Linked DNA regions of Canis lupus familiaris. Each later gene encodes a partner of the first gene's protein in a complex. Links are inferred from orthologs where the notes say so. Each region holds a gene or a part of one and is shown on either strand. Other genes may lie near its edges.

What was found.
Region 2: the proteins of SHC1 (region 1) and NTRK1 are in contact, whole or in part, in an NMR structure (PDB 1SHC), measured with the Homo sapiens proteins. The link is inferred for Canis lupus familiaris from reciprocal best matches to the Homo sapiens genes SHC1 and NTRK1. Residues at the interface, in NP_892113.4 of Homo sapiens: Met176, Arg177, Ala178, Leu179, Ser259, Ile260, Ser261, Phe262, Ala263, Ser264, Gly265, Gly266, Lys279, Asn283, Arg285, Ile301, Ile304, Gly305, Phe308, Glu309, Phe312, Lys313, Gln314, Tyr315; in NP_002520.2 of Homo sapiens: His489, Ile490, Ile491, Glu492, Asn493, Pro494, Gln495, Tyr496, Phe497.
Region 3: the proteins of SHC1 (region 1) and GRB2 are in contact, whole or in part, in an NMR structure (PDB 1QG1), measured with the Homo sapiens proteins. The link is inferred for Canis lupus familiaris from reciprocal best matches to the Homo sapiens genes SHC1 and GRB2. Residues at the interface, in NP_892113.4 of Homo sapiens: Asp423, Asp424, Pro425, Ser426, Tyr427, Val428, Asn429, Val430; in NP_002077.1 of Homo sapiens: Arg67, Glu71, Arg86, Ser88, Ser90, Asp94, Ser96, Gln106, His107, Phe108, Lys109, Leu120, Trp121.

The regions. Positions count from the first base shown.
Region 1 is NC_049228.1:42,491,511-42,494,436, forward strand, and holds part of SHC1 (SHC-transforming protein 1), read left to right. Parts: intron 1-401; coding exon 402-465; intron 466-623; coding exon 624-743; intron 744-986; coding exon 987-1,040; intron 1,041-1,212; coding exon 1,213-1,264; intron 1,265-1,427; coding exon 1,428-1,554; intron 1,555-2,316; coding exon 2,317-2,515; intron 2,516-2,602; coding exon 2,603-2,672; intron 2,673-2,754; coding exon 2,755-2,886; intron 2,887-2,926. UniProt on the Homo sapiens protein: Signaling adapter that couples activated growth factor receptors to signaling pathways. Participates in a signaling cascade initiated by activated KIT and KITLG/SCF.
Region 2 is NC_049228.1:41,137,432-41,141,686, forward strand, and holds the start of NTRK1 (high affinity nerve growth factor receptor), read right to left. Parts: upstream 2,902-4,255; coding exon 2,690-2,901; intron 1-2,689. UniProt on the Homo sapiens protein: Receptor tyrosine kinase involved in the development and the maturation of the central and peripheral nervous systems through regulation of proliferation, differentiation and survival of sympathetic and nervous neurons.
Region 3 is NC_049230.1:5,987,208-5,991,459, forward strand, and holds the start of GRB2 (growth factor receptor-bound protein 2), read left to right. Parts: upstream 1-1,382; 5' UTR 1,383-1,534; intron 1,535-4,252. UniProt on the Homo sapiens protein: Non-enzymatic adapter protein that plays a pivotal role in precisely regulated signaling cascades from cell surface receptors to cellular responses, including signaling transduction and gene expression.

The DNA.
Region 1 (2,926 bases):
AGGGGAATCAGTCTAAGTCTGAATGAAAAGCAGCACCTCTCTGGTCTGGGACCTTCTTATTTATCCAGTCCTGTGTATGGTGGGAGAGGTGGCAGAGGCAGCTGGCAGCTGGAGCCTGAGTATAAAATGGGGTGGATGGAAGATTGCTGCTGCCTTTGGGATGGAATGGGACATTTGGTCGCTGGAAGTAGGTGGGGCCAGACTCACAGAGGCCCTAACCCAATCAGCCAGGAAGTGGCCTCTCCGTGTCATCAAATATTAAAGGCCTTTAATTCAATCCACCATGACAAAGAGCCTGGAGTGCCCCTGAAGTCTGGCCTGGTCTTCCCCTCCCCCTGCCCTGTGGCAGCCCCAGCTGAGTGGGAGGCAGGCTGTGGGTCTGAGGACCCCTTTCTCTCCAGGGAGGCCATCAGTCTGGTGTGTGAGGCTGTGCCCGGTGCCAAGGGGGCTACAAGAAGGAGAAAGGTACCTGGGGCTGATGGGGCTGGGGGCACTGCTGGGAAATGTGGAGGAGCAGGGGGAAGATAAGTCTGGGACCTGTGGGGGGAAGGCCAAAAGGCGGAGGGAGGGGGATTCGTGGTGTGGGGAGCCCCCAACTTCTGAGACTCTGGGCCCTTCCCTAGCCCTGTAGCCGCCCACTCAGTGCCATCCTGGGGAGGAGTAATCTGAAATTTGCGGGAATGCCAATCACTCTCACCGTCTCCACCAGCAGCCTCAACCTTATGGCCGCAGACTGCAAACAGGTTGGTGGGGTTGGGCAAGGGGGCCAGAAACACTGCTGGGAGAGCGGAGCGGGGACCTGGCCACAGGGCCAGGAGCTAAGACAGGAAGGAAGGAGGAGCATAGGAGGACCTGGGCTAAGAAGCCAAAAGGGTGGGACTGACACTCCAGGGCTCCGGGCCCGGGCTGGGGGTGCCCAGGAAGGCCCCAAGGCTGCCTGACCTGTGTTATTCCCTTCCTTCTCTGTACCCTGCCCTAACCCTCAGATCATCGCCAACCACCACATGCAGTCTATCTCCTTTGCGTCCGGTGGGGACCCGGTGAGTTGGGGAACAGGGTGGAGGTGGGGGAGGAGTAGGGGCCATGCTGTCTGGAAAGAGGGTGTGCTGGGGTCCAAGTGGTGTCTGGAAAGGACCAGGATGTGTAGGGGTCAGGAATGAGGTGGGCTGGAAACTGGAGCTAAGTGGCTTCTTCTGACCCTGCCCACCCCAGGACACAGCTGAGTACGTCGCCTATGTTGCCAAAGACCCGGTGAATCAGAGAGGTGAGGCGTGGTGGGGAGCGCTGGGTGGGGCCGGCTGTCCGTGAGGCAGGTGAGCAGGACCTGGGTAGCTAAGTAGGGCTTCGGCTGGGAAGATGAGGCCCCTGACCGCGCCTCCTCCCAGCAGTCCACCAGAACTCACTGACTGCCTTTACTGTGCCCCCAGCCTGTCATATCCTGGAATGTCCCGAAGGGCTTGCTCAGGATGTCATCAGCACCATCGGCCAGGCCTTCGAGTTGCGCTTCAAACAATACCTCAGGAACCCGCCCAAGCTGGTCACCCCTCATGACAGGTGAGCGGGTGCGCAGGGTATGGGCAGCTCCTAGGCACTAGCTGGAACTGAGAAAGCAGGTCTGCTCCACTGCCCACGCTTGAGCTCAGAGAGGGTCAGGGGGAAATAACCTGTGTGCCTGTTTCCCACTTCCTGCTATTCTTACGTTTCCTGTGGCCGTCAGGAAAGTCTGGCCAGGTCCTGCCTGCTTCTGCAGGCCCGCTCTTCCTCTCGTATGCCAGGCCACCGTGCTGCTGCTCTGCCCTTCTGTCCTCAGCCACCTCACTGCTGGCCTGTCTCTCTTTCTTGACCATTTCTCCGTCCTTATTTTTTCACTTTCTTGCCCATAGAGCCATCAGGAATTTGGGTGAGGGAGGGTGTCTTTTTTCCTGAGATCTCGACCTTTCTTTCCCACCTTAGATCAGTAGCTACTGAGTATTTAGAGGAGGTTAAAATATTCTGGAGTGCATCCCTTCTTTCTACTGTGTGCTTCCCCTTCCTCTTGGGAGATAGCATAATAACTGAGAACATGAACTTTAAATCAAATCTGATGTTACCATTCAGGTCTGCCACCGTTTAATTGTGAAACAATAAGCAAACGTCTCCACCTCTGCTCCTCATCTCACCTGTATCACTGGAGAAGGGGGTATAGATACCTTGCAGGGCTGCCAGGGGGATAGAATGCCTGTGTGTAGGAAACGCCCAGACTCAGGCCCACCCTGCAGGAAGTACCCAGTCCATGGCCACTGTCTGTGCCCCCTTGTTCCCTCCTGTCCCTCTCAGGATGGCTGGTTTTGACGGCTCAGCTTGGGATGAGGAGGAGGAAGAGCCACCTGACCACCAGTACTATAATGACTTCCCGGGGAAGGAGCCCCCTCTTGGGGGAGTGGTGGACATGAGGCTTCGGGAAGCAGCCCCCCTGGGGGCTGTTCGGCCCACCCCACACGTTGTCCAGACCCCCAGCCACCTGGGAGCAACGCTGGTAAGTTATTTGGATGGAGGTGGGCTGGGCCTGGGATGGGAGTGGCCAATTTGGGCTTCTGGTCTCATTTCATTTTTGTTTCTGCAGCCTGTGGGGCAGCCTGTTGGGGGAGACCCAGAAATTCGCAAACAGATGCCACCTCCACCACCCTGCCCAGGTGTGAAGGGAGCTGGGAAGGGCAGAGTCAGGGGTGTGGAGGCAGGGCTGGGGTCACGGTGATGCCTCTGTTTCCTTATCAGGTAAAGAGCTCTTTGATGATCCATCCTACGTCAATGTCCAGAACCTAGACAGGGCCCGGCAAGCAGGGGGTGGGGCTGGGCCCCCCAATCCTGCCATCAATGGCAGCGTGCCCCGAGATCTCTTTGATATGAGTGAGTGCTTCTCTCTCCACTCTGCATCTCTGTCTTCCTA
Region 2 (4,255 bases), about 1.4 Mb from region 1:
GCATAAACACACACGCAGAGATACACCTCTTCTTGCATGTTCACACATGCACTTGTGTGTGCACGGACCAAGGTGTGCACATCAGCATGCTTACACGTCACACATGGACATGGTGTACATATATCTCTCATGTGCACACACGGATTCACATTCATAAACACACAGAAGCCCATTCTCAGCTTGGGGTTCTGCTTTTCTACACAGGGCCTCCCCTATACATGCTCAGAGATGGGTGTCACACTGGAACGCTCACTGCCACAGAGAACCAAGGCTCACCAGAGCCACTGCCCCCCAGCACAGAGGGGACTCTGTGGTCATGCAAGGATGTGTGTACCCAAACACAGGGTCACTATCTGGGTTGCCCCCCACTGCGGCACATACACACACACACACACACACACACACACGCTCACTCACACACAACCTCAGAAAGACAGGCCCCTCCCTACTCTCAGGCAGCCATCCTTACCACCACCTTCCACCCTACAGCAGTACAGCGAGAGGCTCAGAGGCTGCCCCAGGAGGGACCCAAGAAGGGGAAGAGGGGCACTGGGAGGGGCACCCAGGGAAGGGGTTGGGGGTGAAGGGGCCCAGACAGGCTAGCTTACATGGCAAGGCAGTGATGGGAAGGCTCAGGGGAGGGGGGAGGCAGGGCAGGAAAACACAGACAAAGTGAAACAGAGACTCCGAGAAAGAGACGATGAGCAAGAAGAGACTGGCAGAGAGAGAGACTGGTGAGGGAACAGACAGATAAGGATAAGGACAGAGACACAGAGATAAGGATAGAGCTCCGGAGAAAGCCAGATAGGGAGCCGGACAGGAGGATGCACACGTGGGGATGGAGGCTGCTGACGCCCTGGGCCCTGCCCAGCTTCTGGATCTGGCACGCCATGGAGTTCCTGGGAACTCGGGTGTCCTGCAATGGCATGTCAGTGTACCCCTACACACGCACACACGCACACATCACACTCGCCAGGGGCCCCTGACTCACTGCCTGTTCTCAGAACTCTCCTCTCACTCTCCTTAGCTGGAACCAGGAACAGTCCCAGTGACCTCTCCCCCTCCCCCTTCCCAGCCTGGGCCCCAGCAGCAGAGCCAGGTAGGGGGTCCTCCACTGGGAGGCCTAGAGAGCAATCTCCAGTGACTGGGGCCGAGAGCAGGTCCCTGCTCACAGGGTTTAGAGCTATAGGGACCCAGGGAGGGGTGGCGGCTGTGTGCAAGCTGTCAGGCAGCACACTCAAAGCTGCCTCATTCGTTTGGATTCATCATCAATCTGTCTTTTGAGTCCATTATCTCCTCGTTAGCTCTGCGGGTGAGGGAGGAGGAGGGGATGGGCAGGCAGAGGCAGGGGGTCAGGCTGCTGCCCCACCCAGAGGAACCTCTCGGCTCCCCACCCTGCATGCCTCCTGGTCCCCAGCCCAGCAAGTCCACTCCCCCACCCCGCCCCCTCCCCCGCTGGGGTTGGACCCACTTGGGGAAGGGAATGGGAAAAGAGCTCTGATGAAGAACATTCAGGATTGGGGCCCTGGTATGAAGGCACAGGGAGGACTGGGCTGGGGGTAGCAGCCCCTCCCATCATGCAGAGTCCTAGGCCCAGACCCAGACAAGGCCATCTCCTCTCTTCCTGGTCTCCCTAGGGCCATTAAAGAGAGAGATTGAGGACCTTCCCGTTAATTACCACGAGATACCGGAGTAACTCACTGCCAATTATCTCAGGCTGCTCAAGTAACTTCCAGACAGTGATGGTTCCCACCTCGGATGCCTTCCAACCTGTCACCGTCACCGCATGAGGCCAGGGTTCCTTGCCCACCCTCTAAGTCCCAGGCGGCAGGAGGGGGATTTTTCTCCCCTCTTCTCAAAGTCTTGCTGGCCCCATCAGCTACATAGAATACTCAAGTATTTTCCAGGCATCACCATGTGATGCTCAAGTACCTCTAGGCCAATTATTACAGAACACTCCCATAGGTTTCACCAGCTGCTAAGAAGTACTCCAGTATTTTGTAACCAATTACTGCAGGATGTCAGAGTACTACAGAATGCTGGAGTTTTCTCTTAGTTTGGAGCCCTGAAAAGAGGAGAGTCTGTCAACAAGAGCCCTGGCTCTCTGCCTCAAATAGGGGGACAAGGTGGAAAAGGAGATGGGGTGAGGAAAGCTAGAAGTCTCATTTTCTACATCCAAATCAAAGCATAGTGGGGATGAGAAATGGTGGAAATGCAGAGGAGAGCGCAGGCACCAAGCTATGCCTCCTCACCACCTCCCACCTATTCCAATTAAATTCCCAGTTCCAGAGGCAAGAGTTGGTGTTGCCAGGTCATGGCATGGAACGGGGTAGGGACCAGCTTCCCCCTTAAGGGGCTAAGGCGGTAAGGGTGCCAAACAGTGGGGTTCTCGGCAGCTAACCAACCCCCCCTCCAGGAGGCAGAGCTTGGACTCCAGTCTGATCTCCCGAAGGCTGCTTCCAGATGGCTGGGCTGTCTCAGATCTGGTCCACGGACAGCCCCTTGCCCCAGCTGCACCGAGCACTAGGCACGGTCCAGAGGGTCATTGCGGTGGTGGCCGAGAGCCACGGCGGGCGGAGGTGGCCCAGGTGCAGCCTCTGGACCCCGCCAGCCTGACTAGAGTCCGCGCCCTCGGGGCAGGGCTCCGCCCGCCCGCGCCCGTCCGCCCACCCGCCCGCGGGACACTCACAGCTCCGTCAGGTTCTCAACGCCTGGCAGGCGGTGGAGGCTCTGCAGGGCCCCGGCCCGGGTGCAGCGCAGCCCCGAGGGGCCGTGGGGGCAGCAGACATCGGGGCAGGGCGCGGCGCCCGCGGACGCCAGCACCAGCCAGGCCAGCAGGCTGCCAGGCCCCGCCGCCCGGCCGTGCCCGCCCCGCTGCCCAAGCCGTCCGCCTCGCAGCATCGCGCCGGCGGGCAGCCGTCCGTGCGCTCCCAGCCGCGGCCGCCGGGCCTCCCCAGACACGTGCGCCCGCCGCGTTAAAGACCCGGCCGCCGGGAAAGGGCGGGGCCCGCGACCCGCCCCGCCCCGCCCTGCCCCCTCCAGCTCCACCTCCGCCACTCGGGTCCTGGCCCCCAGGCCGCCCCTACCCCTTTCTGGGGACCCCGAGCCCCTCCTCCCCCAAAACCCTCTGTCGCAGAAGGAACGCCTTGGAGGTCCTTGCTGGGGCGGGGGACTGCGGCTGAGAAGTTGATCCGTTATTTCTCCCAGCCTATGCTGCCCTTAGGGGGCGGGGAGATGACAGGGCAGGGGCAAGGTTACCGTCGGGGTCGTCCCAGCCAGCCCGGTCCCCCACCATCGTCCACCGCCCCCCATCCCCCACCCCCGCCCTCAGATCTCCCTCCTCACGGTGCGCGCCCCGGGGGCAGTGTACGATGTCACTTGGGGTAAATGAGGTGCAACACTCTCTAACCGTAGGAAGAAAGGGCAAGGGATCCCAAAAGGACCGAACGCAGGATCTGGGGAAAGAAGGCACAGCCGAGGTAATGTGTCGCCCCGAAACAGCCCGGGAAGGGAGCCTAGGGAGCCGGACGCCCGCTTTCGGGAGAGACCACAGGGTGGCGCTGGAGGCCCGCGCGCAGAGGTGCGAGCTCCAGGGCGGGGGGGCGCGGTCTGCAACCCCACCGAGAGGCGTCCCCGGCCCCAGCGACCCGCCCTGACCCCAGCCGGCCAGCGCCGGGCCCGGGCCGGGTGGGGTCCCGCCGGGCTGGGCTGGCATCGATCGCCGCCCTGACAAGAGCATCGATTTCTGCACGGAGAAATTAATAGATCTTCTCTTAGCTCCTCGGACCCGGGAGCCGCCCGCGGGTGGAGCTGGGGACCCGTCGGCCCTCGAGGGCCGCGCACCCGGAAAGCCCCGGGATCCCCAGCGCCTCCCGCCTCGCGGGCCTCGGTGGCCGAAGGAGCCCGCCGGTCTCAAGCGGGGAGGGCCGGTAAGGGCGAGCAAGAGGGTCCGGGAGGAGGGACTCGGGCAGGGAGAGCAGGGCCGCAGGGAGAGCGCGAAGCAAGCCCTCGGAGGGCGAGAGGCGCGGCTGGCCCTTCGCCAGGCTCCCAGCGCAGGCCGTCCTCCAGCTCCGAGACAGGGACGGACAGACCGACGGCAGCGGGCTTGGGAAGGCGACCGGACAGAAGCGGGCCCACAGGATCTCGGTTGTGGCGAGGGACTTGGCTGGGATGGAGCCTCGCGCGAAAGCGGAGTGGCAGCCTCGGGGGCTGCGAGGGGCTCCGGCAGGAGAACGGCTTGCATGCTCAGGACGCG
Region 3 (4,252 bases), on another chromosome or scaffold:
GATGTTCGGTTATTCTCATCTCAGCACTATTTTGTTGGCTTCCAGGGAGCACACTACCATTAGATACGTTCTGTTCTCTTTAATTGGAAAGAGCTTTTGGAACTGAAAAATAGGAGTTACTTCTTCAAGCCTCATCTGCTGCTCCCCCGTTCTCACCCGCCTCACACAGGAATCGAACAACTTAGCATCGCACAGAACACGACTCTCTCTCACGCCTCCGTTCCTTTGTACAGGCATGCGGTTCCCTTCGCCCGAAGCGCCTTTCCCCGACAGCTCCGTCTAGTGAACTCCTACTCGTCCTCCAAGACTCAGCTCAGACATCATCATCACCTTCTCTGGGAGGCTATTCTGAGATGGGCAGAGTAGCAGTTCTCCCTCCCATCTTTTTAGCTTCCTCAGCATTCTCCCAAATAATTCTAACATTGCATATGGCATTTTTTTGTTTTCTTCCGCTCCTCTAATTTTTTAAAAGATTTTACTTATTCAAGATTTTATTTATTCAATTCATTTTTAAGATTTTATTTATTCAAGATTTGATTTATTCAATTCATTTTTTAAGATTTTATTTATTCATTTATTCATTTATTATTCATAAGATTTCATTTATTCATTATTATTCACACACAGAGGCAGAAACATAGGCAGAGAGAGAAGCAGGCTCCATGCAGGGAGCCCAATGTGGGATTCGGTTCAGGGACTCAAGGATGACGACCTGAGCCAAAGAAAGATGCTCAACCGCTGAGCCAGCCAAGCCTCCCTCTCCGGCTCCTGTAGACCGCGATTTCCTCGATTTCCTCGAGGGCCGAGATACCTGTTCATCATTGTACCTCTTTACCCAACACCTGTATACCTATACCTATGCCTAGGATTAGCACACATCAGGCACTTGATTAGACCCATGAGCGAAGAATATGTTCATTCGTCTAACAGTGCGGTTTGGACCGAATTCTCAAGCATTTCAAAAGCTGGTCCTCTATTTGGAGCGCTTCAGGATAGAGGGAGATTCCGACATCCCCCGGCAAAATCCTCGGTTTGATGGCAGGAAAAGGGAAGTGATTAGGCTGTGATGAAGAGTTGCTCCTTCAGGGCTCAGCTGTCATCTACCCTCCTTGGCACAGAGAGGGTTACAGCGACCCAGAGGCGGGGCCACGTGGGTGCCACCTGCTCCGGGGCGGTCTGGCGCAGGCGCCCTGGCGTCTAGACGGCGGCTACCTGCGGGGCCCCGGCCGAGGAGGAGCGCGTGCGCTCTGGGCCTTTTCCGCCGGGGGAAGTCTCGCGGGGGCGGGGCGAGGCGGGACGGGGCGGGGCCGCGCGGGGAAGTTCTCGCGGGACCCCGACGAGGAGCGGAAGCCAGGCGGCTGTGTTGCTGCTGCTAGCGAGCGAGCGGGCGGCGGCGGCGGCGGCTGCGACGAAGACTGAAGCGGCGACGGCGGCGGGAGCAGGCGCTGCCCTCGGGGAGCAGCAGCGCGGTCCGCGGCCGCTCGCACCGCTGCAGACGGGTCGGCCGGGCGCGGAGCGGAGCTGCTGCGCCACGGTGAGTACGGGCGGCGGCGGCGGCGGCGGCGGCGGCGGCGCTGCTGCTGCTCCGGTGCTGCTGCTCCCCTGCTCGGCAGCGGGAGGTGGCCCGCGAGGACCGGGCCCGGTCTACCGAGGGCTGCCAGGGTTGGGGATCAGGGTCGGGGCGACGAGGCCTGGCGCGGAGAACGGAGTCCCCCGGGCTCCGTATTTCCCTTTTTGGGGCGCTTCCTTCCTGGGGACCGTCCTTCCCTTAGCTTAGCTCGGGGCAGGAGGCCGGGTGCGCCTCTTTAAGTTTCACGCTTTCTCGGGGGACGGCTTGCGCAGAGGGGCCCGGGAGAACCCCGGGAGCCCTGGGTACTCATTCTGTGAGTCAGTCTGACTCGGCCCGGCCCGGGAGGCGGGGGATTCGCCGCGGCTGCAAGTGTGGTGATTGATGCTCTTGCGACCTGCACGGCCACCACGTCACCATCTCCCGGTGTCTTTGGGCCAGAATTTGGGGAGGGAGCCCACCGACCCTATGAATACCGTGATTTAGAACTTTTGCTGCCGGAGCCAGCTGAGATGTCTAGTTTTTTTGTTTTTGTTTTTTTGAAACTACACTGAAAAATACTTGTAAAGAACAATAAGCAGCAGTTGGTTGGAAATGCTCCGAGGAAAGGTTTCTGTGCAAGAGGATAAGGAAGGCACTGGTATTTTTCATTTGCATCGCTCTCCATATACGCCCCGTGAGTTAACAGCTCGTTTAGGGAGTTCTTCCAAAAGGTACGATTTGCAGAGGAGCCGAAGTGCACTCGACCTGTGTCTTTTGGTACTGTTGACTCAGAAAAGAGCCCAAAAGACACATGAAAGAAGATAGCATATCTCTTTGGCTTTCCTGTCTCTCTCTCTCACTTTATACTTCTCCAGTAGTTGCCTTCCCTTTCTACCTACTTGTCTCCATTTTCACTGGGGACACTAAGTGTTTGCTTGTGTAATGCAAGTCATTTGCTCATCCCTCCCCCCCTTCTTCTAATCTACTTCCCCTTCCTCCTTTTTGTCCCCTCTTTGGCATAATTTTTCAAGGTTTCTGCCCTTTGGTGCAGTTTGTCTTCTCCCTCATTTAAAGATTCCGTTTTCTCTCCGGGGAAGATACCCTTTTTCCTGCTTTATCCTTCACTTTGAAGCGTCCACTGTGTTCCTTCAGTCAGCCAGAAGAGTTGCCAGAGAGCCTTGGGAGACTTTAAGTTCTCCCCCTGGGAACTGGGAGGCTCAAAGGATTGAATTCATCCGTAAGTAATCAATACTGCCACTAGGTCACAAGTGTAGCTTGCTTGTGTTATTTGTGTTTTAGTTGTTCTCTTCATTTTAACATTGTGCTTTTGTGCCTGCTTACACTTTTCTTCCTATGTCTCTTTTATACTAGTAAGGAAGATTGGGTCAATTTGGGGTTTGTAGGACTTCTTTTTCGGCTTTTAGTGGGAGTGGTGTGTGTTAGAAAATGAAAACCAACCTTAGACCTATGTTACAGTAGAATTAAGATAACATTAAATATTTAAGGGAATAGAATTTCTTTAGATCACTGATGAATTAAAACTTGCCCATTGGGCAGCCCCGGTGGCGCAGCGGTTTAGCGCTGCCTGCAGCCCAGGGCGTGATCCTGGTAGACCTGGGATCGAGTTCCACATCGGGCTCCCTGCATGGAGCCTGCTTCTCCTCTGCCTGTGTCTCTGCCTCTCTCTCTCTCTCTCTCTCGCTCTGTGTCTCTCATGAATAAATAAAATAAAATATTTAAAAAAAAAAACAACTTGCCCATTGTGGCAATTGGATTCTTTACCAGGGTTCTTCTAATGGGGCATCGTTGTTACTGTTCTTGGGGTTTTTTCGATATAAATAACTGTTTCATTACTCCTTCCTTTGTCCAAAATTTTCTGAATTCCCAAAATAAAAACCGAAGTTAATTCTTGTAATTGGCTTTCTTTGATACTAAAAGCAAGCATTTAAGTGCTTGAGGCAGTTTACTCCCTTAGCAAGTGTATTCAGATTTGAGGGATTGCTGGGTTTTAAATACTACTAGTTGATGGTACTTAGCAGTTTTTTTGAGAAATTGCTGTTATGTTGCCTGTTGTGCAGCAGCAGTTCTGATTGTTGCCTAGAACAAAATAATAATAGATTTTGGAGAAATTAATACAGAATAGAGATGTACCATGCTCTCCTGAGAGAAATTAATAGTTCCTTGCTTAGTTCAAAAGACTTTCCTAGCACTACTGAAAGGCTATTGAGAGCCCTTGGTTTTATTTGTTAAAGTTGGCTTTTTCCTAGTTGAGCCAAGTGAATGTGCATTACTTTTATTTTATGCAAAGACATTGTAGTGCATTATCTGGAATGCAAAGTTTGAAATCTGGTTAAGGCATTCTACTAGTACAGCAGTGATTCTTAAAATTTAGCATGCTTAAGAATTACCTGTGAATCTGGGATGCCTGGGTGGCTCAGGAGGTTGAGCATCTGCCTTTGGCTCAGGGCGTGATCCCGGGGTTCTGGGATCGAGTCCCACATCAGGCTCCCTGCTACGAGCCTGCTTCTCTCTCTGCCTGTGTCTCTGCCTCTTTCTCTCTCATGAATAAATAAATAAAATCTTAAAAAAAAAAAAAAAAGAATTACCTGTGAATCTTATTTTAAATTAGGCTCTGGGGCTAAGGCCACTACATTGCAAAACTCCAGAAGGCATCCCACAGTGAATCAGTGTCTGAATGAGACT